2 linked regions of the Macaca mulatta genome follow. The protein of the gene in region 1 interacts with the protein of each later gene in a biochemical or structural test. Links are inferred from orthologs where the notes say so. Each region holds a gene or a part of one and is shown in the gene's direction. Other genes may lie near its edges. The genes, in order: NSF and NAPA.

The links.
Region 2: the proteins of NSF (region 1) and NAPA form a complex in vitro, tested with the Homo sapiens proteins (2 studies listed by BioGRID). The link is inferred for Macaca mulatta from reciprocal best matches to the Homo sapiens genes NSF and NAPA.

The regions. Positions count from the first base shown.
Region 1 is NC_133421.1:70,498,544-70,514,295, reverse strand, and holds the start of NSF (vesicle-fusing ATPase), read left to right. Parts: upstream 1-8,418; 5' UTR 8,419-8,460; coding exon 8,461-8,472; intron 8,473-15,752.
Region 2 is NC_133424.1:60,006,232-60,021,776, reverse strand, and holds the start of NAPA (alpha-soluble NSF attachment protein), read left to right. Parts: upstream 1-8,832; 5' UTR 8,833-8,960; coding exon 8,961-9,058; intron 9,059-15,545. Other genes in the region: ZNF541 (zinc finger protein 541), read left to right, coding at 1,625-1,765, 1,965-2,146, 2,249-2,402. UniProt on the Homo sapiens protein: Required for vesicular transport between the endoplasmic reticulum and the Golgi apparatus. Together with GNA12 promotes CDH5 localization to plasma membrane.

The DNA.
Region 1 (15,752 bases):
CACTAGTGTTTTTATTTCATCTATTAGAAATGATATATTCATGTCCTACTGACTTCCAAGGCAAAGACAGAAAGTTGTTTGGCCAGCAACTATGAAAGTTGTTGTTTGAATGGAGTCATCATAACCTACAAAAAAGGTGAAATAACAAAGGTAAGATTTTTACTTAGCATTGTTTGTTCCTACAGAAAGAATGCTGGAGCTGATAATTATGAGAATTTATCCTTCCATCCCTTATAACCTAAGAATATTCATTATTTTCCAAGATCTGCACTGAGCCTGTAAACCAAAATGTATCTGAGACAGGTCTCAATCAATTTACAAGTTTATTTTGCCAAAATCAAGGACGCTCACCTGGGAGATAGGCCTGTGCCTTTTTCCAAAGGTGATTTTGAGGGATTTGTTTTGTTTGTTTGTTTGTTTGTTTGTCTGTTTTTGAGACAGAGTCTCACTCTGTTGCCCAGGGTGGAGTGCAGTGGTACAATCTTGGCTCACTGCAACCTCCGCCTCCCAGATTCAAGCAATTCTCATGCCTCAGCTTCCCAAGTAGCTGGGATTAGCAGGCATGTGCCACCACTCCTGGTTAATTTTCATATTTTTAGTAGAGACAGGGTTTCACCATGTTAGCCAGGTTGGTCTCCAACTCCTGACCTCAGGTGATCCGCCTACCTCAGCCTCCCAAAGTGCTAGGATTACAGGTGTGAACCACCGTGCCCAGTCAGAAGGATTTAATATTTTATTTATTTATTTATTTATTTATTTATTTATTTATTTATTTATTTGAGATGGAATCTTGCCCTATCACCCAGGCTGGAGTGCAGTGGCACAATCTTGGCTTACTACAACCTCCGCCTCCTGGGTTCAAGTCATTCTCCTGGCTCAGCCGCACCCGTAGCTGGGATTACAGGTGCACACCACCATGCCCAGCTAATTTTTGTTGTTTTTAGCAGAGACGAGGTTTCACTATGTTGGCCACGCTGGTCTTGAATTCCTGACCTCGTGATCCGCCTGCCTCAGCCTCCCAAAGTGCTGGGGTTACAGGCGTGAGCCACCACGCCCGGCCAGGATTTAATATTTAAAACGGAAAAGCAGGCTGGACGGGAAAGAAGGAGAGTATGCTCACATTACTGAATTCACATGTTGCAAGAGACAAAGAGCAGGTAGAGGAATAGTCAATTATGTATTACTCTCGTGCTTACCATAAGATAAGGTGGACATAGAGTAGTTAGCTGCAGCCAGTCCTGCTTAGGAATGAAAGGAAAGGCAACTTCTTGCATGACTCAGCTTTCAGCTTCATTTTTTTTTCTTTTGGCAGAATGAATTGGGGTCCCAAGTTTTTATTTTCCTTTCACAAGCCTCTGAATAAACAAAGTTCCTGCCCACATGGCATTCGATTGCTAAACAATTATAATCACATGAATACATACACATATACATATATATTTTATATATATTATATATATATTTAATACATATGGCTGGGTGCAGTGGCTCACACCTGTAATCCTAGCACTTCGGGAGGCTGAGTTGGGTAGATTGCTTGAGCCAAGGAGTTCAAGACCAGTCTGGTCAACATGGTGAGATCCCATCTCTACCAAAAATACAAAATACAAAAATTAGCTGGTCATGGTGGTGTGCACCTACCTGTAGCCCCAGCTACTTAGAAGACTGAGATGAGAGGGCTGCTTGAGCCTGGGAGGCAGAGGTTGCAGTGAGGCAAGATAGTGCCACTGCACTCCAGCCTAGGAGACAAAGCAAGACCCTGTCTCAAAAAATGAACAAACAAAATACATACATATAGACAGAGAAAAAGAGGGAGAATTTTATAATGATATGCATGAGGAATATATAGGGGAGAGGCTAAAAATAGGCCTAACTTACTAGTGAATATATTCAGGAGGTAGGACTGTGATTGTTTTTAAGTGATCGAGGGAAAATGGTGTACTGATTTTAAAATGGAAAACTCAACTTATTTTTTAAAAATTAAAACTCTGACAATTAAGAGGGAGGATTAATTGAAATCACAATGGCTGCTCAGGCAAGTTTATAAATCTCAAACTGCAATGACTCAATAAGCATTAATTGCTTATGATAATATTGATTTAAGAGTTATTTTTTCCTTAATTAGAAAACACATGGAAAGGACAAAGTGCTCTTGGGAGAAGCAGAAAGAGAATTTCACTTTGAGAAACCTATTTGGAGAAAGTTCCTCATCTCTGGCTTAGACTTTAAAATTAGTTAATAGTGTAATTAGGATTAGTTGTAGTAATAGTGGTATTGGTATGGTAGTTAGCGTTTAAATGGCACACAGAATACCCAGACCACCTTCCCCCAAGTGCCACTAAACTTACTCTTCTAATCAAACTTCTGCTCAAGGGATGTCTTCTTCCTCTCTTGGAAAGCTGTGTTCCTTACCTCAGAAACAGCCTCCATAAACCTGCCCTTAAGAGAATCCTTGGCCAGGTGCAGTGACTCACGCTTGTAATCCCAGCACTTTGGGAGGCCAAGGTGGGTGGATCTCTTGAGGTCAGGAGTTTGAGAGCTGCCTGGTCATCATGGTGAAACTCTGTCTCTACCAAAAAATAAAAATAAAAAATAAACTAGCCAGGCATGGTCGTGTGTGCCTGTAATCTCAACTACTTGAGAGGCTGAAGCAGGAGAATCACTTGAACCTTGGAGGCAGAGGTTGCAGTGAGCTGAGATTGTCCCACTGCACTCCAGCCTGGGCAACAGAGCAAGACACCATCTCGAGAAAAAAAAAAAAGAGAGAGAGAATCCTTAAGACACACCTTCTTTGATGCCCTCCTGAGAAATGTCAAGAGTAGCCAATATAGTCACCCCAATCAGCTGTGGTGTCTGGGCCTCTAGTGTTTTAAGGTTCTAGACAACTCAGCCCCTCCCAGGAGACGCTGATTTACTTTTCTCAAGATGCATTAAGACTCATCAGAACAATATCTGAAAAATCCCTTTTCAAAGAGATGCAGGCAGCCTTCCAGCCCCATGATGTTAATACACAGGGTTAGGCAGCCTGGCAAGTGCATTGTGGCCCCCACTGAAGGATCATCTGGTTTCCATAGCAACAGTCCTTCCTTTCCACGGAGGATTCTATCATCTGTCCTGCCCACTCAGGCTTTCTAGAATGAATTGATTTTTGTGACTATAGGTGTTTGTCCTTGATCCTGCAAAGAGAAAAGACATATTCATTTAAAACAAACACCCCACCCCACCCCGCAACTGATTGCAGCTAGAATACTGCATTGCATCAGCCAGTCTTCCTTTCATTTTAAAATTCCATGTCCTTTCTCCATTTTGCTCTGTTCTCTAGCTTTATCCATCATTTTAGAAAACAGGTTTCTCTGACAGAAAACAAACAGATGGCAACTCCATCATCCTAAAACTGGCTGTGACAGGGCTGTAAAATCAAGTGTCCATGGGGCTCCCAGAAAGCCTAGGCTTGCATGGCATGTGTGGCTGACCTGTGAGTTACAATTGGAGGGGCAAGAAAAGGCTTTCTATACACAGATGGCTCCCCATACAGTGTCAGTCTCTGAAGTGTTGCCTTTTGAGGTTTGTTTTCTTAGGTTAGTTAGGAGAATACTGACTGCTGTCCTGTCAGTATTCTCCTAAATTGCCACTACTCCTGGGAAGGGTAATACATTAGGTTACTAATACTGAAAGAACTTGAGAAAGAGGGGAGGGGGTGCAGCAGGAAGGGAATAAAAGGGGCTCTGAAGACCGCCTTTGTGTGCTTCACAGTGACACCTTCTGCAAGAGGGGAAGTTCAGGTCTTCATCTCTCTCTGTCTCTCTCTCTCTCTCTCTCTCACACACACACACACACACACACACACTCTGCAGGATGCCTTCTGACAGTTACAATGCAGTGGTGAATTCACCAAACAGGTCTGTTCCCTGAAACACCTACATACAATCCTGCTGGAAGACCTTTGAAACAACTCTGCAGTGACTAAAAACTCTGTACCCAGCACCACTTGTTTGACCCTACAGTTTCCACAGACTAAAGGTAGTTTTCCTTTGGTTAATATGAAAACACCAAATAGATTGCTTTGTTAAATAAAGTGAATTACAGTGAATCTGTTCACTTTTATGTTTCATATTGCCCTCACTCCACAAATCACAGAAGATATTTATTTTTCCCCCAGTTAAATTCTGTTACCACAACCATTACAAACAAACGTCTATATAACCAAAATGTTGTTCAGCCCATTCTGATGGAGCACATATTAAGTGATGTTTAATGGGATATAATTTGAACATAAAATTATATGAGTGCACTGTTTTCAAGTCTTTGAATCAGGCCTCCACCTATAGATGTTGGTTACCTATCAGGGAGCAACAGGTGATATTAAGGGTCACTTTGTAAAAGACAGGAATCTCATCCCTGTAATTGACAGGAAACTGACCATATTCATCAGGGTTCTCCAGAGAAACAGAACTAACAGAATGTATATACATATAGGAAGAAATTTAGTTCGAGGAATTGACTCGTGTGTGATCGTGGAGACTTGGGGAACCCAAAATCTGATGGGAGAAGCTGGCATGCTGGAGGCCCAGGGAAGAGTTACAGTTCTAGTTCACAGGTAACCTGCTAGAGAATTCCTTCTTGTTCTGGATGAGTTTGGCTTTTTGTCTATTCAGGCTTTCAAGTGATTGGATGAGACCCACCTACATTATGGAGGGCAACGTTCTTTACTCAGAGTCTACAGATTTAAATGTAAATCTCATCCAAAAACACCCTCACAGAAACATCCAGAATAATATTTGATCAAGTATCTGGGCAACATGGCCAAGCCAAGTTGATACAAAATTAACCATCACACTGGATCACAAGGGCTAACTGATTTTGGTCAAACCCTGCCCTTGCCCCTATGCCCCACTCTTTTTCATTCTGGGTCCTGCTATTTTCATTTTATCATGTCTTCATCTTCTCCCCCGACCTTTGAGGTACCTTTCCTTTCTGACCCTATCCCTAGTCTCACCTCCTACCTCCCACTCAAAGCCCTTCCTTCCTTAAAAAATGATGTTAGTCATTACACTTTAGAATTTAAATTAATCATTCTGTTAACCGTCTTACTAACTTTCTCACTGTAAAAGAAAAGCATATTAAAAGAATTTCAGGGATCGATGAAGAGCTAAGGGAGATATTTTTTTAGGAAGAGAAAGTGACTAACTCACAGAAATCAAGACAAAGGGGGACAGTCAGATTTTGCAGACGACAGAAAGCAGGTGAACTCTAGAGATCTAGAAAACTAGCAAATGGTCTCTTCAGGGTGTCATCATTGCAATAAATGAGCTCTAGCTATTTCTGTCATTATTCCTCAGGGTACTCAAGATTACAATTACTTAGGGGAGAGAGAGCATCTGATTGATTGAACTTGGGTTCTGTACTCACTCCTGGGCCAGGGGGAGACAGGGTTCCTGGTCTGACAATCCTTCCAAGGCCACATGAACTGGAAGAGCTGTTACCAGAAAAGGGCAGAGTGAATCTGGGGCAGCAAAAACATGTGTTGCTTATCGACTATCGCTGCAAGGATTACTCAGAGGGTGATGCAGAATCAGCACCCCTCTATTTCTAAGATGACCTTGAATGTCAGAGCAAGGCACAAACAGGATGCAGAGACATGTGGAGTATCTGGAGCAATGTCTTACAATCCTTCCCCTCCTGCTGGATGCGAAGGACCTTAAGGACAGGAGCTATGTTTGCCTGCAATTTATTTGGCAGGCCCTGCAGGGCTGTGCAAATGATTCTATTTAATTTTTAATACTTGTGAGAAGGCACAGAGGGCTTTGAGAGGGCACAGAGGGCCTCTTATAATGGGTAGATATGCACGTTAGCTGATACACTGGAAATTTTCCAGCAGGCATATCCTTCCAAGATGATAAATATTCCTCCTTGTTGGAGAAATTGAAGACATTTGTACTTGCAGTCTAGCTTACCTAGTAAAACAAGACAAATTAACCAGTGATATGGAGAAACACGTTTGCATTATTTTCCAACCTTGAAAATAATGTCAGATTATTGGACCGAGAGCCAATGTCATTTTCTCGATCTGGTAATTATTTATTAAAATCTCTTTGATTTCTAGGTTCAAATTCAAGGTGCCAAAAGAAAAAGAAAAAAAAAAAAAAAAAAAAAGGATGGAAACTAGGCCAGGCGTGGTGGCTCACCTCTGTAATCCCAGCAGTTTGGGAGGACAAGGCAGGTGGATCACCTGAGGTCAAGAGTTCGAGACCAGCCTGGACAACATGGCAAAACCCTGTCTCTACTAAAAATACAAAAATTAGCTGGGCGTGGTGGTGGGCATCTGTCATACCAGCGACTTGGGAGGCTAAGACAGGAGAATCACTGGAACCTGGGAGGTGGAGTTTGCAGTGAGCTGAGCTCACGCCATTGCACTCCAGCCTGGGTAACAGAGTGAGATTGCATCTCAAAAACAAACAAACAAAAAAAACAAATAAGGAAACTGGGCTCAGGGATATGAAGGTACACAGGTGACGGGCAGATAGGGACAAAGAGAACCTAACCCTCTGGACTTCCCAAGCCATTCTAATATTTGTTTTTGTACGTTAGTAACTTCTGCAAGTTAGTAGATCAGAACTCAACTAGTTTCCTGTATTTCCTGATAACCTCTCTGACCCACCCATGATTTAGCTAACATCTGATTTGGTCAAGGAAGCAACTTGGTCCTCAGGTTCAGTGTGAGACTTCATGAAATTGACGTGAAATTTTTTTTTTTTTTTGACACAGGGTCTTGCTCTGTTGCCCAGCATGGAGTGCAGTGGCACAGTCTCGGCTTACTGCAACCTCCGCCTCCCGGGTTCAAGCGATTCTCCCACCTCAGCCTCCTAAGTAGCTGGGATTACAGGCACCCGCCACCACACCCGGCTAATTTCTGTATTTTTAGTAGAGATGGGGTTTCACCATATTGGCCAGGCTGGTCTGGAACTCCTGACCTTAGGTGATCCGCCCGCCTTGGCCTCCCAAAGTGCTTGGATTACAGGCATGAGCCACCCCGCCTGGCTGGCGTTAACTTTTTCTTCTGTCCCTAGTTCATCTTCAGGTCACTGTCTGATTTTATTAGTTCTCAAATTTAAATCACTATGCATGCTCAGCTCTTCTAGTTATTTCCCTTCTTTTCTCATGCTGGGGGGAAAAAAAACCCGATTTATTCTAATTAACTGTGAGAAATGAAAGAGAACAAATCCTATCATTCCCTATTGTCTTGCGCAAATATGAAGAGAGAGATGATAGTGGGGTAAATAAAAGCAAAAGGGAATCCATTCGGCAGAATCTGTCTCCTCCCAGGCTGCTTGAAGTTAGATATTCTGAGATTCCAGTGGAGGAATGGTATGGTGAAAACATCGAGGTTCAACAAGGCTGAAATTTAGGTTATATTTTATTCAGATTCTACCATGTATAGTGTCTAAGATGAAACAACGCTGGGGAATGAAAAGGTTGTCGAAGATACAAGTTGCCTTTATTAAAGACAAATATTTAATAAAAATAATCACAATTCGCTTTCAAATCTGAAGAAAATACTGAGTTTTCCAGGCTACACATAAATAAAACTGCCAACGATGACAATTCCAGCAACTAGGAAAACAAGTACGCCTACAAAGAAAAGTGAGAAAATTCATGGAGAATTTGAACTCAGAACCAACTCCTCGGAGCTGATATTTTCTGGGGGAAGCCAGGGAACGCGCCGGGTTTCCTCAACCGCAAGGCCATGTTTAAGAGAGTCTGGAGGCCAGGTGCGGTGGCTCACGCCTGTAATCCCAGCACGTGGGGAGGCCAAGGCGGGCGGATCACGAGGTCAGGAAATCGAGACCATCCTGGCTAACACGGTGAAACCCCGTCTCCACTAAAAAATACAAAAAATTAGCCAGGCGTGGTGGCGGGCCCCTGTGGTCCCAGCTACTTGGGAGGCTGAGGCAGGAGAATGGCGTGAACCCGGGAGGCGGAGCTTGCAGTGAGCCGAGATGGCGCCACTGCACTCCAGCCTGGGCGACACAGCGAGACTCCGTCTAAAAAAAAAAACCAAAAAACAGAGAGTCTGGAAGCACAGAGCAAAATGGACATTCGAGGGCGAACAACTGCTGGCAAAGGGATAAGTGATCCGAAGCATTAAAGCCCTTGCGACAAATTCCGGCGCGAACGGCCAGGGGACACGAGACTCGCAGGAACAGCCCTCGAGCGAGCCGCGGACGGACGCGCACGCTGGAAACACGGTCACCTGCCACCGCCTAGCAGCTCCAGCCAAAATGGCGCCGCCGCTCTGCCCGCCCCGCGCGCGCGCCCTGTGGAGCGAGGACTCCGGGGACGCGCGCGTCCTCACCGCGGCTGCACGCCTGCGCGAGGGCGGGCGGCGGGGGCGCGCGCACGGCGGGGGCGGGCTTTGCCGAACGCAGAGCTGCAGCCGCCTAGCCGGACGTGTCTGCGAAGATGGCGGGCCGGGTGAGTGCCGGTCTGGGAGCCCAGGCTCGAGGCAGGGGCGCCGGGCTCGCGGGCACTCCGGGGTCCAGGAGGCCCCAGGGGAGTGGGAGTGAATCCGAGCAATGGGGCGCGAGGCCAGAGCGGGACTCGAGGGTAGCAGGGGAGCGGTGGCAGAGGATTAGCCCTCCTCAACAACTCCACCCCCCTCGAGGGGAGATGACCCCCTCGTTACCCGCGTCTGCTGCGCCTCAGGTCGTCCTCTCCCATTCCTTGGGGCTTGTTTCCCTTGTCCTCCACATAGCCGCAGGGTCGCGGTCGCCGAAGCCCCTTCTGACTGGCTCTGGGGGTCTTTCCGCACCCCCTTGCGAGGGCTTATTAGGGGGCGCCGGAGTAAGTGCCGGGAGCACGTCTACTGCATTCGGGGCGAGCGGTGTAGGAAGGATCATCAGGAACCCATGTCTGGCTCTTCACAAATTAAAGGTCGTTGGGAAAGAGGAGGGGGTGCCAATGACTTTTAGTGTTAGAGCCCTGCCATCTGGGGGACCTGTCAACTGTCAGGTCAGGCGGGAATTTGCTTTAGCTTGGAGTGAGGATGGATTTGGGCTGTCATGTTTTGTTTTTATGGATGACAGTCGCTTTCAATGCAGCAGGATATGCTGTAGTTTCAGGGTTTTAAATTTACTTCCTCCTTTAGGCTTTAGGGTTGCTGGGTAGGATGGATTTGGCGAGGAGAGATAGAGCTGCTTGAGTGCTGTATTGCAGTCTGCCTTGAGCTAAAAGCTCTAAAGGGATGAGTCCTGCCCAGAGATTACACTGGTTATAAACCTGAGGACATTAACTGCGTCACTGGGGGCGAAAGATGTGCTTGACTGATCTCTTTGTACCAGAATTTTTGAATAAGTTTGCATAGATTTATGCATATATGCAAAAGCCCTATCTAAAGGGACTTGTAGGTCATGAGATTCTAGAGTCAGAAGGGATCTTAAAGGTCATTTAGTTTGGCTTCTTTCTCTTCCTTTTCCCCGTGGTCTCTCCTTTTAAGGCTAGTCCTTCTACCAATACTTCAGACCCTATCTGTATATTCATCTACTCCTTCTTAATCAAGCTTCTTTATCTTAAAACAAACCCTTCCCCCACCCCCACAGCTGTCACCTTTTCCCTTCCCACTTTACAGCAGGAAATTTGATAGAGTTGTCTATATTTATTGTCTTCCATTTGCTTACCACCTACTCACCTCTCAACCTACTGCAGTCTGATTTCTGTCCCATCATCCCACTGAAACCTGTCCCTCAACTTAATTGAACTTTTCAATCCTTATTTGATGTCTCAGCAGCTTTTGACGTTGTTGACCATGGCCTCCTCGATGGAAAGCACTCTTTACATGTGTTCTTGGATGCCTAGCTCCTGGTTTGACTCAGACCTCTCTTTTGCGGACTCACTCTCCTCTACTTTGTTATTCATTGCTGGTATTTCTGCTCAGGCAATCTCTTCTAAGCCCATAGCTACAACTGTCTATATGGCAGTGATTCTCAATATTTTACCCCCAGTCCAGACTTGCCCTTTAAGTTTCAGGTTAATACGTCCAACAGCTTATTAAAATCAAGGCCCCTGAAACTCAGCTTTTTCAATTCCGAACCTAGGATCTTAGCCCACCTAACTTGTGTAGATGCTCCTCAACTTAACGATGGAGTTACCTTCTGATAAACCCATTGTAAGCTGAAAGTATCAGAAGTTGAAAATGCATTTAATACACCCCATCTACCGAATATCATAGCTTAGCCTAGCCTACCTTCCTTACACATCCCCAGAACACTTACATTAGCCTACAGTAGGGCAAAATCATCTAACATAAACCTATATTATAAAATGTTGAATACCTCATGTCATTTATTGCTGTGCTGATAGTGAAAAACAGAATGGTTGTGTAGGTCCTCAAAGTACAGTTTCTGTTGAATGCCTCTCACCTTTGCACTATTGTAAAGTTGAAAAATGTTAAGTGAAACCATTGTAAGTCAGGGACTGTCTGTACCTATTCAGTGAGATAGGAATATCTCACTGAATGATACCGTCATCCACCCAGTTATATAGGCTGGGAATCTGGGGGAGGGAGAGGGTGGGTAACCCTTGATATCTCTCCTCTGCCCTATCCATGTCCTCTGCCCTATACAAAGGTAAAATTTGGTAAAATTTGTCAGTTCTGCTCCTGCCCCCCATAAAGGTGTTTAATTAGGGTCTAAAGACTCTGGTTTGGGAGAATGATTGCTTTAAACTAGATCCAAATCACCCACTGGACTAGCTGGATTGGTCACATGGGTTCTGTCATTTTAACCCAAAAATCTCCTGTCTGTTCACCTTTCCACATCTTCATTTTTACCTCGTTTTCCCAGACTACCACCATTTCTGGTCTGGACTACTGCAGGAAGCTTCCAAGTAGTTTTTTTTGTTTTGTTTTGTTTTGTTTTGTTGTTTTTTTGGTTTTATTTTTGGGACGGAGTTTCGCTCTTGTCACCCAGCGTGGAGTGCAATGGCGCGATCTCGGCTCACTGCAACTTCCGTCTCCCAGGTTCAAGCCATTTTCCTACCTCAGCCTCCTGAGTAACTGGGATTACAGGTGCCCGCCATGACACCCGGCTAATTTTTGTGTTTTTAGTAGAGATGGGGTTTTACCATGTTGGCCAGACTGGTCTCAAACTCCTGACCTCAGGTGATCCACCTGCCTCGGCCTCCCAGAGTGCTGGGATTACAGGCCTGAGCCACCGTGCCCGGCCTCCCAAGTAGTCTTCTTAGAGCGTATGGCCCACCTCCGGTTCATTCTGGACACTGACATTGATTGTTCCTTCCCATGCCCATTACTACTTAAACCCCTCCTCAGCAGCATCCCATTACTTTTTAGAGAAAACCAAATCCTTAATGAGGCCTTCAAGACTCTTTGTGGTTCTGCTCCTGCTTCTTTCCACTCTCTCTCTTTCTTAACTCTCTGTCCTCAGGTTATATGGTAAATGAGCCTTTCAATTCCTTCAGCCTGTAGTTTCTTTTACCGCAAGGTCTTTGCAAGTGGTGTTTCCTTTCTTTGTAACGTTCTTTGCCACGACCATTTACCTCCTACTCAGACATCATTTAGCTACTCAAGGAAGGCCTATTCTGACCCCACATTGTAAGTAAGGATCCTTTGTTATATACCCTTGAAGAACTGTATTCCTCTCCTTAGAGATTTTTTTTGTTGTTGTTACTTTGAGTGTATGTTATTATTTGCTTCTACTACTTCACCTCAGTGAAAAGCAGAGAACATATAAGTTATTTAGTCATTAGCAACTGCACTTTGTGTACCTTCTGGGACTTAGGTACTCAATACATTTTTGTTGAAAATGAATCAATCTCTGAACACTCTGGTGATAGATGGTGTATTACCCTAAAGCTTGCCAGTAATGTCATACAGCTATGTTACGTCTTTGTTATCTGGAGTTCCATGTAACTTTTACACGTAGTTACTATTTCTGCTGTTTAAAGCTATATGGAAGGTGTAAACACAATTTTCCATGTAATAGCTACTCGAGCTATTCGTTTACTTGAATACAGGTTACATATCTCCTCAGATTTTCTATTTTACAAGTTAAACATCCCCCAATTCCTAGCATATTTCATATTCCAAACGCTTAATCATTTAGACTACCTTCCTCTGGAAGTAACCTAATGTTACTGTTTTGTCAACCTTTCTTCTAAAATGTGCCCAGAGTGGAACACAGTGATCAGAGAAGAATGTACTTGAGCTATTATTCTCTTGAGATGGACACTACCATTATTCATGCCAGATAAAATTGTATTAGCGTTTTTTCTACAGTAAATCACGTTCTTGGCTCATAACTGAGCTTGTACTTAATGAAAACTCATGTTCTTTTAAAATCAGCTCCCTAGCTCCATTCTAGGTTTGGAGCCGTTTTACTGAACCTAATTCAAGACCTTATCCTTTTACAATTCATTTTTTTAGGTCATTGCCTGTCTGCTATTTGTTGAGGTAATCTGGATTCTTAGTTTTTCTCGTGTTAGGAAACATAATAGCTGTCTCTTTCAGTTTGGTTAGCTCTGTAGGTTTAATAATCGTGACTTCTGTTTCTACATTTGAGTTATTGGTAAAGGATAGAATAAGACAGGGTCAGAAATAAACCTTGAGCATATGCTGCCAGTGACCTGTCTCTAGACTGATACCCATTAATACACTTGGGTACTGTTGCTTAAGTACAGATATATCTCATTTAATCCCAACAAAACAACCCTGCAAAGTAGGTAGTATTATCTTTGTTTTTTGCAGAGAGAAAGAGAGAGAGAGATTTAGTAACTTGCCAAGTTCACATAGCCAGCAAGAAGCAGGGTCAGGATTTGAACTCAGATCAGCCTGGTACTGTTACCTAGTTCACCAACTTAGTTGCAAGAATGTAATGAAGACTAAGTTTACCTCACCTAGAACTTTTTGGACATAATAATGTTCAGAAACTATCTTCTACCTTTTGGAAAATCTGAACAACTTTGGCCCATCTGATTGTCTATCATTTCTTCTGATAGCCTTTATTTTCTAGTAATTACTGAGTGATGTTTAGCAAATATAGTTCACCTTGTTGCAATACTTTTATTTGTGCATATTTATGGAGTACATGAAAAATTTTTTACATGTGTATAATGTGTAGTGATCAAGTCAGGGTACATGAGTCCAATATATTAAGTATAGTCATCTACTCAGCTTTCAAACATTGAATTTATTCCTCCTATCACTGGATTTTTTTTTTTTTTTTTTTTGAGATGGAGTCTCGCTCCATCGCCCAAGGCTGGAGTGCAGTGGCGTGATCTTGGCTCACTGCAACCTCTGCCTCCCAGGTTCAAGTGATTTTTTTGGTCCCATATGAATGACATTGGTATTTTGATAGGGATTTCATTGAATCTGTAGATTGCTTTGGCAATATGGTCATTTTAATGATATTAATTCTTTCCACAAGCATAGGATTTTTTTTATTTTCTTTCATTAGTGTTTTGTAGTTTTCCTTGTAGAGATCTTTCACTTCCTTAGTTAAATGTATTCCTAGGTTTTTGGTAGTTATTGTAAATGGGATTGCCTTCTTAATTTCTTTCTTGGCTAGATCATTATTGGTGTATAGAAATGCTACTGATTTAAAGGTTTTCTAAACCTACAGATATATAATCAGCAAAGACACAATTTGACTTGCTCTTGTCCAGTTTGGATGCCTTTCATTTCTTTCTCTTGTCTGATTGTTCTGGCTAGGATTTCCAGTACTGTGGTGAATAGGAGTGGTGAAAATGGGCATCCCTGCCTCATTCCAGCTTTTAGAAGAAAGATTTCACCTTTCCTCATTCAGTATGCATTAGCTCTGGGTTTGTTATATATAGACTTTATTATTTTGAGATGTATTCCTTCTATGCCTAATTTGTTGAGAGTTTTTTTAATCATGAAGGGGTGTTGAATTTTATCAGATTTTTGTTGTTGTTGTTGTTGTTGCAATACTCTTTTTTTTAAATTTTTTTGAGACGGAGTCTTGCTCTGTTGCCCAGGCTGTAGTGCAGTGGCGTGATATCTCGGCTCGCTGCAACCTCCACCCACTGGGTTCAAGCAATTCTCCTGCCTTAGCGTCCCTAGTAGCTGAGATTACAGGCCAGCGCTACCACACCCGGCTAATTTTTTTGTTTTTAGTAGAGACGGGGTTTCGCTATGTTGGCCAGGCTGGTCTCGAACTTCTGACCTCAAGTGATTTGCCTGCCTCGACCTCCCACAGTGCTGGGATTACAGGCGTGAGGCACTGTGCCCGGCTGTTGGGATACTCTTAATGGATTTTATATTTCCTTTTTGTGGGGGACAGTTTATTTTGAATTCTTGCACTTTTGATTTGGTTAATTTTGGTATTCTGACATCATCTTGTAAGTGGGATTTATATTCACTATGTAATTGAGGTTTTTTTTTGTTATATCACTGTTGCTATTGATAGCACTAGTAACTTGTATGTCTTGCTCTCTCCTTTCTCTGACCGATGAAGCACCGTATATAGTATATCTGGGAAACTGGCTGAAGAATAAAATGTGTGATGTTACTCAGTGTACATTTATAGGTCATCAGAAGATACCACTACCTTCCCACTACTGGAAAAGAAAAAGAGAAAAGTTTTCCACAGTGCCTGAACTGTTTTGTATGCTTATCTTTTAAAATTGCCAGAAATCTCACTTACTGGAGATTCAGCAGTCCCTTTCTGAAAATATACATACTTTAATGCAAATAAAACCAGTGGATCTCTTTCTTCATAAGTCCTTAAACCCAGTCGAGGTAATCTGTTTTGTAGAGATGGGAGTAAGATAATGTGAAATAGGAACCAACGAGAGAGAACTTTCTTAGGAGTTGAAAGGGGTATGGAAAGATGTTAGAGGTAAAATTTATTGAATCCAGTGTTTTGACTAGGGCAGGCCAGAATATTCAGTATCAGTATCAATATCAGAAGCTTTTGTAGCCTTTGTTTAGAAACCTAGTCATTTGTAACATTTTGTGGGTGAATGACATAGTTACCAAATAAACTTTCAGATGAAACTTTGGAACTCAGGCTGTAAATTGGGGATAGCTCATGTGCAGTACCACAAATCAAAACAAATACTATAAAGTGTTTGGTAATCCATTTCCTAAATGAAAGTTTGACTCTCCAAAGTATATCAGCTTTCTGCAGTCTTATATGCAGTAGTTACTGGTTTTGTATATCGCTTTAGTGGATATTTTCAAAAGTATCTTCAAATGCAATGAATTTTAGGAAACAAAGCAGTTCTTTAAAGCAGCATTAGATAAACCCAGAGAAATTTATGTATAGGATGATTCTTTTTTCAAGTATTTAAGTTAAGGTGCAGAAGTATAAGGTAAAGTATATTAACCATTGAAAATTCTGGAAGTGGCGGAAGAGTGAACCCTTGCAAATACCTGCATTGGGCAGTACACTAAGAACTTGCTGTAATGCTTTTTAAAGCATCTGTCCTCTGACTGTAGTATTTTAAGTGAAAATGGCTCAGTGAGATACTCTTTCATATTTTAGTACTGATACCCTTAATATTGCTCTGAGAGCTACCTACTGACTTCAGTTTCCTAGTGATTTAAACTTCTAATTTCCAACTTTTTTTTTATAGTGAAAACGAAATATTTCTTGTGTAGATGTAACCATTTCTGGAAGCCCTAAGTATTTTTGTATGAGTATAATTCATACACACTTTTAAGAGATTTCAATCATGACAAAAAGTACAGTGAATAATGTATATCCATGTGATTACCA
Region 2 (15,545 bases), on another chromosome or scaffold:
TGAGGCAGGCAGATCACGAGGTCAGGAGTTCGAGACTAGCCTGGCCAATAAGGTGAAACCCCGTCTCTACTAAAAACACAAAAAATAGCTGGGTGTGGTGGTGCACACCTGTAGTCCCAGCTACTCGGGGGGCTGAGGCAGAAGAATCGCTTGAACCCAGGAGGTGGAGGTTGCAGTGAGCTTAGTCCGTGCCATTGCACTCTGGAGTCTCAAAAAAGAGATACCTGGCCGGGCGCAGTGGCTCAAGCCTGTAATCCCAGCACTTTGGGAGGCCGAGACGGGCGGATCACGAGGTCAGGAGATCGAGAGACCATCCCGACTAACACGGTGAAACCCCGTCTCTACTAAAAAATACAAAAAAACTAGCCGGGCGAGGTGGCGGGCGCCTGTAGTCCCAGCTACTCGGGAGGCTGAGGCAGGAGAATGGCGTAAACCCGGGAGGCGGAGCTTGCAGTGAGCTGAGATCCGGCCACTGCACTCCAGCCTGGGTGACAGAGCAAGACTCCGTCTCAAAAAAAAAAAAAAAAAAAAAAAGAGAGATACCTGCTCTGGAGTGCCATGACACATCATAGCTCACTGCTGGCCGGGCGCAGTGGTTCAGGCCTGTAATCCCAGCACTTTGGGAGGTCGAGGCAGGCAGATCACCTGAGATCAGGAGTTCGAGACCATCCTGGCCAACATGGTGAAACCCCGTCTCTACAAAAATACAAAAATTAGCTGGGCATGATGGCAGGTACCTGTAATCCCAGCTACTCAGGAGGCTAAGGTGGGAGAATCACTTGGACCCGGGAGGTGGAGGTTGCAGTGAGCCAAGATCATGGCATTGTACTCAAGCCTGGGCGACAGGGTGAGATTCTGTCTCAAAAAAAAAAAAAGCTCACTCTAACCTTGAACTCCTGGGCTCAATCGGTCATCTCGCCTCAGCGTCTTAAGTAGCTGGGACCACAGGCATGTACCACTATGACTGGCTAATTTTTAAAATATTTTGTAGAGATAGGGTCTTGCTATGTTGCCCAGGCTGGTCTCAAACTCCTGACCTCAAGTAGTCCTCCTGCCTCAGCCTCTCAAAGTGCTGGGATTACAGGCGTGAGCCACCAAGCCCAGCTTCCCTTTTGTTTTTAACAGAAGTTATTTTTAGTGGGATCCTTTCTTAGTGGAGGAACGGGAAAATGATCTCGTAGGTTCGTGCTGTGCACTCAAAACCTCCCCTTCTTCTAGAGTGGGCCACTTCCTGCCAAGACTTTAGAGGCTCTGCCTAGCTATTGTAATGTCTGTGTGGTATTCTGCCTGTAGAGGGCATTCCGATTTATTAGCATGATGTCACAGTTAGCGTCCCTGGAGGGACCTTTGTGTGCATCTTCCTTAGGAAAGAATACCTGGGCTGGAATGACTGCTCAGAATGTGCAGGCTTAAGTACTGGTGGCTACTGTGTGGCTGCTCTTTGAACGGCCTCATCCCCAGGAAGGATTTTGTGGTCCTGTGCCTTTGTGGTGAGTGGTGACGCCAAGCCAAAGGAAGAGATCCTTCCAAAGGGCTTTCCAAAGGAGGCAGCTGGCCCAGTGGCAAGGTCACACTCCCAGGGCCCGCGTGGCACGGCCACAGCCTGCTTGTTTTCTTTCACTAGATCCAGACAAAGACGGTAGCTCAGTGCGTTGAGTATTATTACATCTGGAAAAAAATGATCAAGTTTGACTGTGGCCGAGCCCCAGGGCTAGAAAAGAGGGTCAAGAGAGAGCCGGAGGAGGTGGAAAGGACAGAGGAAAAGGTAGAGGAACCGGGGCAGTGTCGGGAGCTCGTCTCTCCTCCCAGTGCCTGCTGCCTGTGGAGTTGGAGGGTGGGGTCAGAGGGCGGGGATGCTCCTGACGGAAGGGTTTCCCTGCAGGAGACACGTGTGCCCTCAGCTCTGTGCCTCTCTTACAGCAGGACAGGTCAGCACCCTTATGTCACTTTTGCTCCCTCTGCAGGTCCCATGCAGCCCTCGGGAGAGACCCAGCCACCATCCAATTCCTGAGTTAAAGATAAAAACCAAGAGTTATAGGAGGGAGTCCATCCTCAGCTCCAGCCCAAATGCAGGCCCCAAGCGGACCCCCGAGCCGTCGGGAAGTGTGGAGAGCCAGGGCATTTTTCCATGCAGAGAGTGTGAAAGGTACCCAGCTTTCTCCTGGAGATGCCCCCAGGGCTCCCAGCCTCAGCCCCCCATGATCCCTTCCTCCTTGCTCTGACCCCATGTCCTCTGGTGACTCCTCAGGGTATTTGACAAGATCAAGAGTCGAAATGCCCACATGAAGCGGCACCGCCTTCAGGACCACGTGGAGCCCATCGTCAGGGTGAAGTGGCCGGTGAAGCCCTTCCAGCTGAAGGAAGAGGAGCTGGGAGCTGACATCGGCCCCCTGCAGTGGTGATTCCCATGGCAGGAAGTCCGAATGGGGCCTCCGGTGCTGCCCCTCCTCCCTTCGGCCTCTCCAGGGTGTTTGGGGTACCCCTCTGCCTCCCCCCACCCTCCCCATCCCCCGTTGGCCAACCAGCCTGCAAACGTGGTGGGCATTTGGCCACAGATAGGCAGGAGGAGCTCAGTTGTTGGACAGCTATGCAGTCCCTGTCCAGTGGCGCTGGAGGCTCTACTCTCCTTAGGTTCATAGTCTCTCCCCTTCTTTCCCTTCCACTTCTAGAGCAGGGAGGCTTGGGGAGGGGAAAAGTTAGCTCTGGGTAGCTCTTAAATCTTAGCCTCAGTTGTGGGGTTTGGTTTCATGTGTTAGATAAGGCCAAGACGTAGAGAATCAGTGGGAAAAAACCTTGAGATCTCCAACATGCTGGGCCCCTCCCCAGGGCGGGGACTCTGCCTTCCAGATTCAGTCCCTAGTCTTGCGATGAATTCTGCATTGTTCCGTGTTTTTTGTACGTGTCAACTCATAAATCTGATTAAATTGGGTTCTTGAGCCGCTGTCTTTGACTTCCCTGCCTATTGATCCAATAAAGGCTTAGGAACCCCACCACGTGCTAAGGCCAGGAGGTGAGTCAGCTGTGGCCTGCCCTGGGGGCTGGGGGCCTTGGGGAGAAGACAGGCATGTTGATTTGGACATTCATTCAGCAAACATCCACGAAGCACCTGCTGTAGAATGCACTGGACGTTGCCAATCGGTGCAACAGGGATAGTGAAGTAAGACAGGCCCCTTTCCTCACGGACCTTCCTTTGTAGGAGCAGGAAGGTAGCAGTAATAATAAGCAAACAAGGTGATTTTGGGTCTTGATACTGGAAATGCTTAAGAGTTGGTGTTGATTTAAACAATCATGGAGTTTGGTTGTCCCCGTGGGGGTTCAGCCTTGGAATCAGGGACCCCTGGCAGGGGCAGGGGCAGAACCAGGGCTCCAGCAGAGGCGAGAATAACCTTGAACCAAAATCCAGACCTGCAGGGGGCAGGGGAGTCAGGGAAGAGAAAACAACCCCCCTCCCTGCCTCCCTTTTTAAGAGTGAGAAAACCTTTAACAGCTCCCAGCAGATGCCCGTATGTCTCATTGAGCCTGTGTTCGCTTCTAAACTGATCCCTGTTAGTGAGAAGGGAAATGACCACAGTTAGGCTAGACTACTCAAGATGCAGCTCCATGGCCAGGTGCAGTGGCTCTTGCCAGTAATCGCAGCACTTTGGGAGGCCAAGGCAGGCGGATCATGAGGTCAAGAGATCAAGACCATAGTAGCCAACATGATGAAACCCCGTCTCTCCTAAAAATACAAAAATTAGCTGGGTGTGGTGCCACGTGACTGTAATCCCAGCGACTTGGGAGGCTGAGGTAGGAAAATCGCTTGAACCCGGGAGACGGAGGTTGCAGTGAACTGAGATTGTGTCACTGCATTTCAGCCTGGTAGAGCAAGACTCCGTCAGAAAGACAGAAAGAAAAGAAAGGTAGACTCCACAGTGGCTCACACCTGTAATTCCAGCACTTTGGGAGGCCAAGGTAGGTGGATCACTTGAAGTCAGGAGTTTGAGACCAGCCTGGCCAACATGATGAAACTCCATCTCTACTAAAAATACAAAAAAATTAGCCAGGCATGATGTTGGACACCTGTAGTCCCAGTTACTCAGGAGGCTGAGGCAGGAGAATCACTTGAACTTGAGGGGTGGAGGTTGTAGTGGGCCAAGATTGTGCCACTGCACTCCAGCCTGGGCAACAGAGTTGTCAGTGACTCACGTCAGTGGGAGGTGGTCAAGGAAAGGACAGATCGAGTTGGCAGGGCACGTTTGAGCCTGAGCAGCTGTAGTCGATGCCATTAGCTCAGATGGGGAATTGACTGCAGAGGATTGATTGCATCGGGGTGTGATCGTGTCTATGGTAGGGTGTGCTGTGTTCTGAGGGGCTGGGAAAGTAGATGGCAGTGTCAGGAGGTTTCACAGAGGGCCCACCTATCAGCTAAGGCTTAAAGATTGGGAGGGAAGGGGAGCAGAGGTGGACGCTGAGTTTGAAGCAGTTGGAACACTGCAGTTAAGGGAAGGGGTTCAGACGTCAGATGAACCTCATCCATCCTGGCTCCTCTTACCTCCTTGTAAACTAGGGCGAATCACTTTCCCTGTGGGAGCCTCAGTTTTCTCAATCTGTAAAATGGGATGAAAATTGCCCCTCCTCAACCCCTGCAACCTATCAGTTAAATAAAATGTAAATTATGGCCAGGTGTGGTGGCTCACGCCTGTAATTCCACACTTTGGAAGTCCGAGGTGGGCGGATCACTTGAGGTCAGGAGCTTGAGATCAGCATGGGCAACATGGTGAAACCCCATCTCTACTAAAAATATAAAATACGAACATTAGCCAGGCATGGTGGTGCATGCCTGTAATCCCAGCTACTTGGGTGGCTAAGGCACAAGAATTGCTTGAATCCAGAGGTGGAGGTTGCAGTGAGCAGAGATCGTGCCACTGCACTGCAGCCTGGGCAACAGAGCGAGACTCCATGTCAAAATAAATAAATAAAAATAAAATGTAAATTAAGCATTTGGAAAGGTGCACCATAAGCAATGAACAGCTACTAGTTAACAAGCTCTCATGTGATTGCTAATATTGTTTGGATCCCATCCTAAATAAATCCAATGAACTCTGGAAATGGAAAAATACTCCCTGGTTGAAAAGGCTGAGGGGTATATTATCTGTTGCTGCATGACAAATTACCCTGAAAAGGAACAGCTTAAACAGAAGCTTTTACATAGCGCTGCTGCTTTGACAGACATGGAACCAAAACTGCTTGTGGTAATCCAGGCTCACCCCCACCTGCTCTGTGGTCAGGACACAGTGGCAACCACAAGTGGGTGGTCCAGGCAAGTCTATTCATGTATGAAGAGAGTTGGGGGAAGACTTATGCCTTGCTCTGCTCAGCCAACCCCCTAGATAACAGAGGTTTCTCAAACTGTGGTCCCTGGATTATCTGCATCCTAATTTTACTTTTTTTTTGAGAGGAGACAGGGTCTCACTCTGTTGCCCAGGTTGGAGTGCAGTGGCACCATCATAGCCCACTGCAGCCTCAAACTCCTGGGGTCAAACAATACTCCCACCTCAGCCTCCCAAGGAGTAATTTAAAATTTTTTTAATTTTGTAGAGATAGGGTCTTGCTTTGTTGCCTAGGTTGGTCCTTAACTCCTAGGCTCAAGCAGTCCTCCCACCTTGGTCTCCCAGAGTGTTGGGATTACAGGCATGAGCTACCGGGTCTGGCTGCATCTTAATTTTATGGGGTTCTGTTTTTTAAAAACGCAGATTCCTCTGACCCACCACAGACTCAGAATTGGAACCATTGTGGGTATGGCCTTCGAACCTGTTTTATTTAAAGAAGATTTTTAGGATAGTTTTAGATTTGTAGAAAAATTGCAATGACAGCAAAAAAAAATCCCACATACCCGTTTCCCCTATGATTAACATCTGATATTAGAATGGTACATTTATTACCATGAATAAACTAATATGGCACAATATTATTAACTAAACTTCATAGTTTATGTAGCTTTCCTTAGTGTTTTTTGTTTTGAGATGGAGTCTCACTCTATTGCCCAGGCTGTAGCACAGTGGCACAATCTTGGCTCACCACAACCTCCGCCTCCCGGGTTCAAGCAATTCTGCTTCAGCCTCCCGAGTAGCTGGGACTATAGGTGCCCGCCACCATGCCCAGCTAATGTTTGTATTTTTAGTAGAGATGGGGTTTTGCCATGTTAGCCAGGCTGCTCTCGAAAGCCAGGCAGCTCACGAACTCCTGACCTCAGGTGATCCACCCGCCTCAGCCTCTCAAAGTGGGATTACAGGCATGAGCCACTGCGCCCGGCCGATTTCCTTGGTTTTTTTTAACCTAATGCCCTTCTGTCCCAGGATCCCACCCAAGGTAAGACATTACATTTAGCATCCATGTATCCTGGGCTGTGACGGATTCTCAGACTTTCCTTGTTTTGATGACTTGACAGTGTTACTTGTTTGAGACTGAGTCTCCCTCTTGTTGCCCAGGCTGGAGTGCAATGAGGTGATCTCAGCTCACTGCAACCTCCGCCTCCCGGGTACAAGTGATCCTCCTGCCTCAGCCTCCCAAGTAGCTGTGATTACAGGCATGTACCACCACACCCAGCCAAGTTTTTTGTATTTTCAGTAGAGACAGGGTTTCGCCATGTTGGACAGGCTGGTCTCGAACTCCTGGCCTCAAGTGATCCTCCTGCCTTGGCCTCCCAAAGTACTGGGACTACAGGTGACACACTGCGCCCACCAACAGTTTTGAGGAGTACTAGGCAAGTGTTTTGGAGGATGTGGTTCAATGGGAATTTGTCTAGTGTTTTTTTCATGATTAGATTGAAAGATCCCAGAAGTAAAGAGCCATTTTAATCACATGACTTATCAATGTTGAGGTTAACCCAACAACCTGGATGTCAAAGTCTGGTTTCTCCACTGTAAATTTAGTTTTTCTCTCCCCTTTCCTGCACCCTCCTCTTTGAAAGGATGTCACTATGCACAGTCCATACTTACAGAATGGGGAGGTATCCTTCACCTTCTTGAGAGCAGAGTATCTACACAGATTATTTGGAATTCTTCTGCACAAACTATTTGTCTATTCTCCCCCCTTTTTCTCTATTCATCTTTATGACCACAGGCTCATGGATACTTTATATTTGGGATTATAATGCAATACTACTTTATTTTGCTGCTCAAATTGTTCCAGCTTTGGCCATTGGGAGCTCTTTCAGTTGGCACCCTGGCATACCCCCTAATTTTGTGTGTGAGCACACGTGTGGAATACTTCCTTCCTCTCTGGCACTACAAAGTGATACTGCGGTGAGCTATGATTGTGCTGCCGCACTCCAGCCTGGGCGACAGAGTGAGACCCTGTCTCCAAAACCAACAACCCAAAGAGTGAGACCTGTCTCAAAAACCAACTACTCAATTTTCTGGGGCAGCAGGAGGTGTGTTTGAATCTGAACTTTTTTTTTTTTTTTTTTTTTTTTTGAGACGGAGTCTCGCTGTGTCTCCCAGGCTGGAGTGCAGTGGCGTGATCTCGGCTCACTGCAAGCTCCGCCTCCCGGGTTCACGCCATTCTCCTGCCTCAGCCTCCCAAGTAGCTGAGACTACAGGCGCCCGCCACCACGCCCGGCTAGTTTTTTGTATTTTTAGTAGAGACGGGGTTTCACCATGTTAGCCAGGATAGTCTCAATCTCCTGACCTCGTGATCCACCCGCCTCGGCCTCCCAAAGTGCTGGGATTACAGGCTTGAGCCACCGCGCCCGGCCTAACTTTTTTTTTTTTTGGAGACAGAGTCTTGCTATGCTGCCCAAGGCGGGACTTGAACCGGACTCAAACTCCTGGGCCCAAGCGATCCTCCCGCCTCCGCCTCCCGAGTAGCTGGGATTACAGGCACCAGACACCGCGCCCATCTTCGAATCTGAATTTTTTAACACGCTGTCTTCAGCTTTTTTTTTTTTCCTAAGTCTCACTCTGTCACCCAGGCTGAAGTGCAGTGGCACGATCTCGGCCCACTGCAACCTCCACCTCCTCGGTTCAAGCGATTCTCCTCCCTCAGACTCCCGAGTAGCTGGGATTACGGGCGTGAGCCACCACACCCGGCTAATATTTGTATTTTAGTAGAGCGGGGTTTCGCCATGTTGGCCGGGCTGGTCTCAAACTCATGACCTCAGGTGAGCCGCCCGCCTCGGCCTCCCAAAGTGCTGGGATTACAGGCGTGAGCCACCACGCCCGGCCCTCTTCATCTATTTTTTATGAAACCAGAGTTAGAGAACCTCTTAAGTTTTTGTTTCCAGTCTCTCAACTACTTCACCGGTCTCCCCAAAGCAGTTCCAGTACTGGCCGGTAGAGGGAGCAAGAAAAAGCAGAACGGTTTCCTTTTCCCACAAACGCTTTTCCAAGTGAAGAAACGGGCGAGACCAGCCGTGGGGCGGGACTAAGCTCTGCGCAGAACTGTCAAACCCGGGCTTGGGCCCCGAGTTGTCACGTGAGTGTCCGCGGTCAGCTGACTCTGCCGGAGTACTTCAGGGAGGGCGCGGGGTGGCCCCCCTAACAACGCGAGCCGAGGGCTGCTGCTGATTGGTGGAGGAGCATCCAGCGGCAACACCGTGGGGCGGGGCCTCGGCGGTGAGTATTGCCATTGCCTTCCGCAGGGTCACGTGGGAGGTGAGGTACAGAGCGCTGAGGAGAAAGTGGGGCGTCGTTGTCCTGTGTGTGCGCATGCGTTGAGGTCTCGGGACGCCGATTGGGGGGTCCCGAGTCACGGGCGGCTTGCGGCGGCTGGTGGGGGCGTGGCCGGCGGAGCGGGCGCCGCGCTACGAGGCCTCTGGTTGGCCAGCGCGAGTCACGTGATTCCGGGCCGCAGGCGCCGCGCGCCGGTGCGACGTCAACGCAGCCGGGCGACTTCTCCCGATCTGTGTTCCGCGGCCCGGCCGCGGCTGAGTCTTCCCAGGGCCAGTGTCGGGCGCTTTGCTGAGTCCTTTTGTGGCCGCCATGGACAATTCCGGGAAAGAAGCGGAGGCGATGGCGCTGTTGGCCGAGGCGGAGCGCAAAGTGAAGAACTCGCAGTCCTTCTTCTCTGGCCTCTTTGGGTGAGAACCGGGCTGAGGGGTCGGCCGGGACCTAGGCTGAGAGGACGAAGGAGTCACGGTCGGAGGTGGCGGGTTAGGGCACGCAGAGCTCGGGCCGAGGGGACGGAGAGGAACCTGGAATGAGGTGACTTGGCCTGAAGCGGCAGAGGCTACACAGGCTGAGGGCCAAGAGCCTGGGCCGGGGCAACACGGTTTGAGGAGAGACGGTCTGACATGGCGGAAGGGATTTGGGCTGAGGACACACGGACAGAGGCGACCCTGTCTTGAGGCGAGGAAGGGGACCCAGGCCGAAGACAGGCCAGCGGGAGGGGGAGAACCTGAACCGAGGGAATACGTCCTGAAGCCGTGGAGGGGACCGGCTTGGGGGCAGGGAGGGAGTCCGCGAGATAAGCCAGGTCCGGAGGCTTTTCAGAGCTCTAGGGGAATGTGAAGGCTCTCGGGCGGCAGTGATGGGGCCTGGGGCTGAGGACGCCTGCCCGAGGGACTGACCTTTTCATCCCCCGGGGCAGTGGATTTGCGTGGGCCCTGGGCAGTGAGGGTGAAGGCTGAAGGGGGCTGACACCTTTGGAGGGGCTCAGGGCTTAGATGATCCTAGGAGCAGTGAGCTGCGTCTGAAGTGTGGGGGGTGCCTGGGGTGAGTACGGCCCTGGTTAGCAGTGACTAGTTTAAGGACAGCTGAGCGGAGGAACCGGGATGATGGAGTCAAGACTGTGGCGGTCTCAGCCCTTTGGGAGGCCGAGGTGAGTAGATCATCTGAGGCCGGGAGTTCGAGACCAGCCTGACCAACATGGTGAAACCCCGTCTCTACTAAAAATACAAAAATTAGCTGGGCCTGGTGGCGGGTGCCTGTAATCCCAGCTACTCGGGAGGCTGGGGCAGGAGAATCACTTGAACCCAGGAGGCGGAGGTTGCAGTGAGCCGAGATCACGCCTCTGCACTGCACTACAGCCTGGCAACTGAGTGGGACTCCGTTTCAAAAAAAAAAAAAAAAAAGGGAAAGAAAAAAACCTGAGGAGGCCTGGGTTGAGGCCGGAGACTCCTGGGTGGGGGAACGCGTGGTGGTGGCTTGGCCAAGGAGATGGAGGGATAACAGGGAGAGACGGGGACTGAGAGAATCAAAACTGGGGATCAAATTCCTGCTGTGTGATCCTCGAGTAATGGGGATGACAGGAACATGCTGAGAAGAGGGATGGGAAAAGGCTTGGGAGACAGAACTAACGCATGTGACATGGCATAAAACTCACGGTAGCTCCTAAAAGCTGACACCACCATCCTGTGATAATTTTAGTGGCTTAAAAGTATTAAGAGCCCAGGTTTGAAATGTGGCTCTGCCACTTACTTCATGACTTTGGGTAAATGGTTTAGTCTCCCTGTTAAAGGAGATCACAAATCTAACCTGCCTCCCATTTGCTGTGAGTGTTAGAATTGAGCCTGGCGTGGAGTTACATCTCTGAGAGTGTTAGCTATTGTTAATGTGACTTCCCAGAAGGAAACAGGTTTGGAGTGTGCAGAGAGCTGATGGGGTTCAAGGTGGGCGCCCGAGAGGAGAGGTCTGGGAGGGGTCAGGAGAGGGAGAGACAGAAACATGGGTGTGCTAAGAGGAGCTGAAAGGGAGCAGTAAAGGGAGCCACGAAGACTTAGTAGGGTTGAGAGGAGCATGAGGCTCTGGGCAGAGGAAGTAAAGGGAGTTTGGCAGGGGGTGGTGGTGTGTGGGGGGGTGGGATCTGTGCTGATGGGGGGACCCGAAAAGGTCAAGGGGAGGCTGTGGAAACTGAGGGGAGGACTGGGAAAGGACTAGTGGACCTGTAGAGAGAACGGTCTGTGGTGGCCCCTCAGAAGCAGAGCCTGGGGAAGTTGGTGGGACTGGGAGTGTCTGCAGAAGGCTGGAGAAGGGGGTTTGGGAGGAGGGCCTGGGGATGGGAAGAGACTGGGGTAGGAGCCTGGCAGAAGCTGGTAAGACACAAAGGGGAGGGATCTTTCCAAGAGAGGAAGGAACAGGAAAAGGGCTCTGGGCCACGCCCCTTGTTTGAGGTTGGATAATGTTTAGCAAAAGAACTTGAAGAACATGATGGTGAATTGCCTGGTGTGGAGAAACATCTGGGGCTGATGGACTGTATTGATTAGGTGAAAAATATTTTATTTTAGAGGCTGCGAGGAGACAGAGGGTGTGTGTGTGTTTTCTTTTTCTTCACAAGGGGAGAAGTTCAGGTGCTGTGTTTGGGGGTGGGGCCACGAGCTGGATTTTTGGTGATAGTTTTCCTAGGTGGCTCTGGGTGTCTGGTCCCTTTGGCCCAGGGATTAGTGGGCTGTTGGACTGTGTGCTTGGAGGGAGCAGCTAAGTCAGCCCCAAGGCACTTGCTACCTGGTTGGGAAGGCAGGATGCACAGCAAACGCTAGTAAAGTGGAATTACCTACTGTAAGGAAGGGCTCGATTATATCATTCCTGTGACTCTGAGCTCAGAGGAAGCAGTGTGAACCAGGGGGAAGCTCATGGTGAGGAGTGAGCTAGGTCCCAAGGAACCACAGGACTTGCTGGGGAGTGGGGCCAGGGAGGGTGCTCTAGGCAGCAGGGATGGTGCAACAGAGATCTAGCATGAGGGGAAGTTCTGCCTGGAAAGACAGGGAACTGAGATCCACACGGATCAGAAATGGCTTCCTGGGGGAGAGGCCCCAACCCCAGGGGGATGAACAGGAGTTCTGGGTGCTCTCTGGCAGGGAGCAGCACTCCAGGCAGGGGTTATGATGGAGTATGCCTTAGGAAGATGGAACACAGGGAGTTACACGTTAGACCATAAAGGTGGAAGCGGCAGGTGAGGCCAGACTAGGAAGGCCTGGTGAGCAAGGGCTGGGCCTGGAGGAGGCACTGAAGAGCTCCGAGGAGGCTAAGGGAGGCCCATCCTGGAGAGCTGCTATTTGCCTTCTAGAAAGGACTGCAGCAGCTGGTGTGGGGGAGAGTGACGGCAGGAGGCTGTTGCATTGCCGGTAATACTAGCAGATACAGGTTATTAAGTGCTCGCTCTGACTCGGACCCAGGCCTGGGCCAGGCTCAACCTGCTGATAGATGGTATGGATTTAGTCCTCACAAAATCCCCGTGGAGGTAGAGAAACTTGGGGGCTTAGAGAAGTTGACTTACTTGCCCAGCCACATGGTAAGTGGGAGAGGTGGCATTCAAACCCGGTTCTGTGTGATTCCAGAGCCTTCTCACTTAGCCCCTTTGCTGTGCTACCTCGGTAGTTTCTCCTCAAGGTTCATGACCATCTCTGGGCACTACATTTGGGAAGGCTGTTGGCAAACTAGGTGTGTTGGAAAACCGCCACCCTCTTAACTGTGGTCCCATGGCCGTTTTCTCCAAGTATTTGAAAAAAAGAGCCGGTGTGTTCATCTCAGTTCCTTCCAGCTCCCAGAGGAGCTGACCTGGTGCTGTGGGGGTGTGAATGAGGTGAGGGCAGAGGGCAGAGGGCAGGGAGGATGGGAGGGTGGCCTGACCGGAGCTTGCATGCCTGGGAGCTGGGAGCACAGTCAGAGGCCAGCTTAGGAGGACCTGTTTGACGGGTGGGAATCACTCAGGCACCTCCTCCTCTCTGATCTGGGTTTGCTTGTGTTCAGCATTTCATAACCCACCTTTTTTCAGGTCCTTGGTAGCTGCCGGGACTGGAGAAGGGAGTGTTGGGCCTCAGCTTGTCCTTGGTGCCTCTCCCTTCCCCTTTGGGAATCCCAGCAATGACAGCGTCCCACATTGAGGGTCCTCTGCTCCTATCAAAGGGCAAGTCAGAGAGCCTTCACCTGGGACGCAAGGCGGTGGGCGTCTGTGCTGTCGCCCGCTTCGGTGCTCAGACGCCGCCCTTGCTCTTCATTATTTCTGGGCTGCCAGACGCTAGGGGGCTTTGATGCACCAGCAGCCACTGAGGGCGACAGCACCAGCCAGTTAGGAGAAGCTCAAAGCCATCCCTGTTCCTCCCCTTGGTGATGGGGGTGCAGCTCAAACTTCTGCTCTGGAAGCAAAAAGACGGAGACTTCCTAACTACAGCACAGTGAGCAAGCAGCAGAAGGGGACGGCTGAGTCCAGGCGCACTAGTTCCCCCTCCCTGCTGCATGTCTCCTGGTAAATCCAGAGTGCCTGCTGTGCCCTTTGGGGATCGTGCGGCTTCTGAATGGCAGCTCTGTTCCCTGGGGCTTTTCCTCATCCCTGATGTCTCCTGGCCACCTCCCCTGCCGCCAAAACAGCCAAAATAAAAACTTCCTTCCTCTTGGATACAAACGTGTAGAGGGAGTTTCTTCATCTGTGAAATGAAAATCCTAGTCAACTGTTTCCTCGGGTGGTTCTAAAGATAAATGAGACGATGCGTGGGAAGTGGTGGGAGCACGGTGCCTGGCTCTGGTAATGTTTATTAAGGGCTCACTGTCATCTTTATTAGTAGGTATTGTCATTGGAAGTTGAGCTAGAAGTGCTGGAGAAATAGGTGGCAGGGTGTTCTGTATACAAACAGTGCATTCCCAAGATCAGATCTTGGCAAATCAGTTCCTGTTTGAACTACCTGTAGGCAGTAACTGCGGGACCATGGGAGGGCCAGCTTGTCTGTATAGGGCCTGCATGGGATCTTGGCTGAGACTGGTGTGGGCATGAGCTTCCAGATTTCCCTCCAGACCACCTTCCTCTGCAGAGCGTGCAGAGACCCCGGCACCATTTCCAGTGGGCACCCTGGTGAATCACAGTGCCCTGTCAGCAGCCAAGATCCACAACTGAAAACTTGGCATCTCTTGTCCAGTCTCAGAGTGGAGTCTTTCCTGAGAGCACACAAGGTTTCTGGGGAATCTGAGAATTCCTGGCTTTCCTGATGGATGGAAGTTTGCTGCCTGGCCATACAAACATTTCTGTCTCCTTTTTGGAATGGGGCTACTGAAAGACAAGGGTCTTTGAGAACACCTTTTAAGGAAAAGGAAGCACATTCGCCCTTGGTCTGTGGTGAAATGTAATCCCATTGGGGTGCAGGGGGGCATTCGTATAAGAAAATAAGAAACAGAGCGCCTGCCAGGCTGTGTGCCGTGTGGCAGGTGAGGTCCTGGCTCTGAGCTTACCATCTTGAAGGGCCGTGGGCCTGTATGTATTTTGAGCATTGTGCAGTAAGGCGGAGGGTGGTGGGAGGCCAGGACTCTGGAAGCCAAAGGAGGAGCAGCACTTAGCGAATCTGGGGTGGAGATGAAGCCCATGCTGCGATTCTGAAGTAGGGAAGTGTGCCTGGAATCGGTCCTCAGCGGGGCCTGATGAGAGGGATGCTCTTGTTTACTGAGCGCCCGTGGTGTGACCGGCTCTCTGCTGGGCACGCCGTGGGGTGCTGCCTGCAAGATTGCTCATGCTTCAGCAGCACTGCAAGGTGTGGAGTCTTATCCCTAGTTACACATGAGGAAACGCAGGCTGGCACGCGATGATCTGGCACTGAGGCCAGGCCTGTTTGACTACTGTCAGCATTTATTTTATTTTATTTTTACCACCACAAGCAACTCTCTAGAATTCCTATTGCTGGGTGGCAGGCACCCCTTTGAGCGTATTTCTCTTCCTTTGTATAATGGCAACCATTTGAGCACCTCTTCCATTCTGCTCTCTGTGCCAAGTATTGAATGTGTGTCATCTCTAATCCTCACAAAGACTCCTCCCAGGCCAGATTCATTGTCTCTGTTTTATTTCATTTTTCATTTTTGAGAGACAGGATCTTGCTCTGTTGCCCAGGCTGGAGGGCAGTGGCATGATCGTAGCTCATTGCAGTCTCCACCTCCTGGGCTCAACTCCTGGGCTCAAGTGATCCTCTCACCCCAGCCTCCCAAGTAGCTGGGACTGTAGGCATATGCCACCATGCCTGGCTAGTTTTTAGTAGAGTTGGGGTCTCACTGTATTGCCCAGGCTGGTGTCACACTCTTGAGATCAAGCAACCCTCCTCCTTCAGCCTCCCAAAACTCTGGGGTTATAGGTGTGAGCCACTGTGGCCAGCCACACTGCCATTTTATAGATAAAGAATGGAATCTCAGCACTTTGGGAGGCAGAGGCGGGAGGATTGCTTGAGCCCAGGGGTTCGAGACCAGCCTGGGCAACACAGGAAGACCCCATCTCTTATTAAAAAAAAAAAAAAAAAAAAAAGCCTTAGGGATAACTAGCCCCTGGTTGGACACTTAGCAAAGTACCTGAAATGAACTTCAGCCCAGGTCTCACCACCCCAAAGTCATTCTCTTTCTACCCCTTGTCCTTGCCCAGACAGTCATGTCACAAGAGGGTCCTGTGGCGATTTCAGAGCTGGGCAGTTAGGCTGTGACACTTTATCCTTTCACCGTTGTTAACCGGGGCCTGTGCCAGCACTGTGGAGAGATGGGAAAGTGAAGCTGGGCCCAGGCCCCGCCCCGCAGGAACTCATACCCTGCTTGGTCAGCCGGGGCCCACTGCAGAGTGGCGGGAGGCAGCTGGTGGTTTTGCACTTCCAGGTAATACTGGTGGCAGTG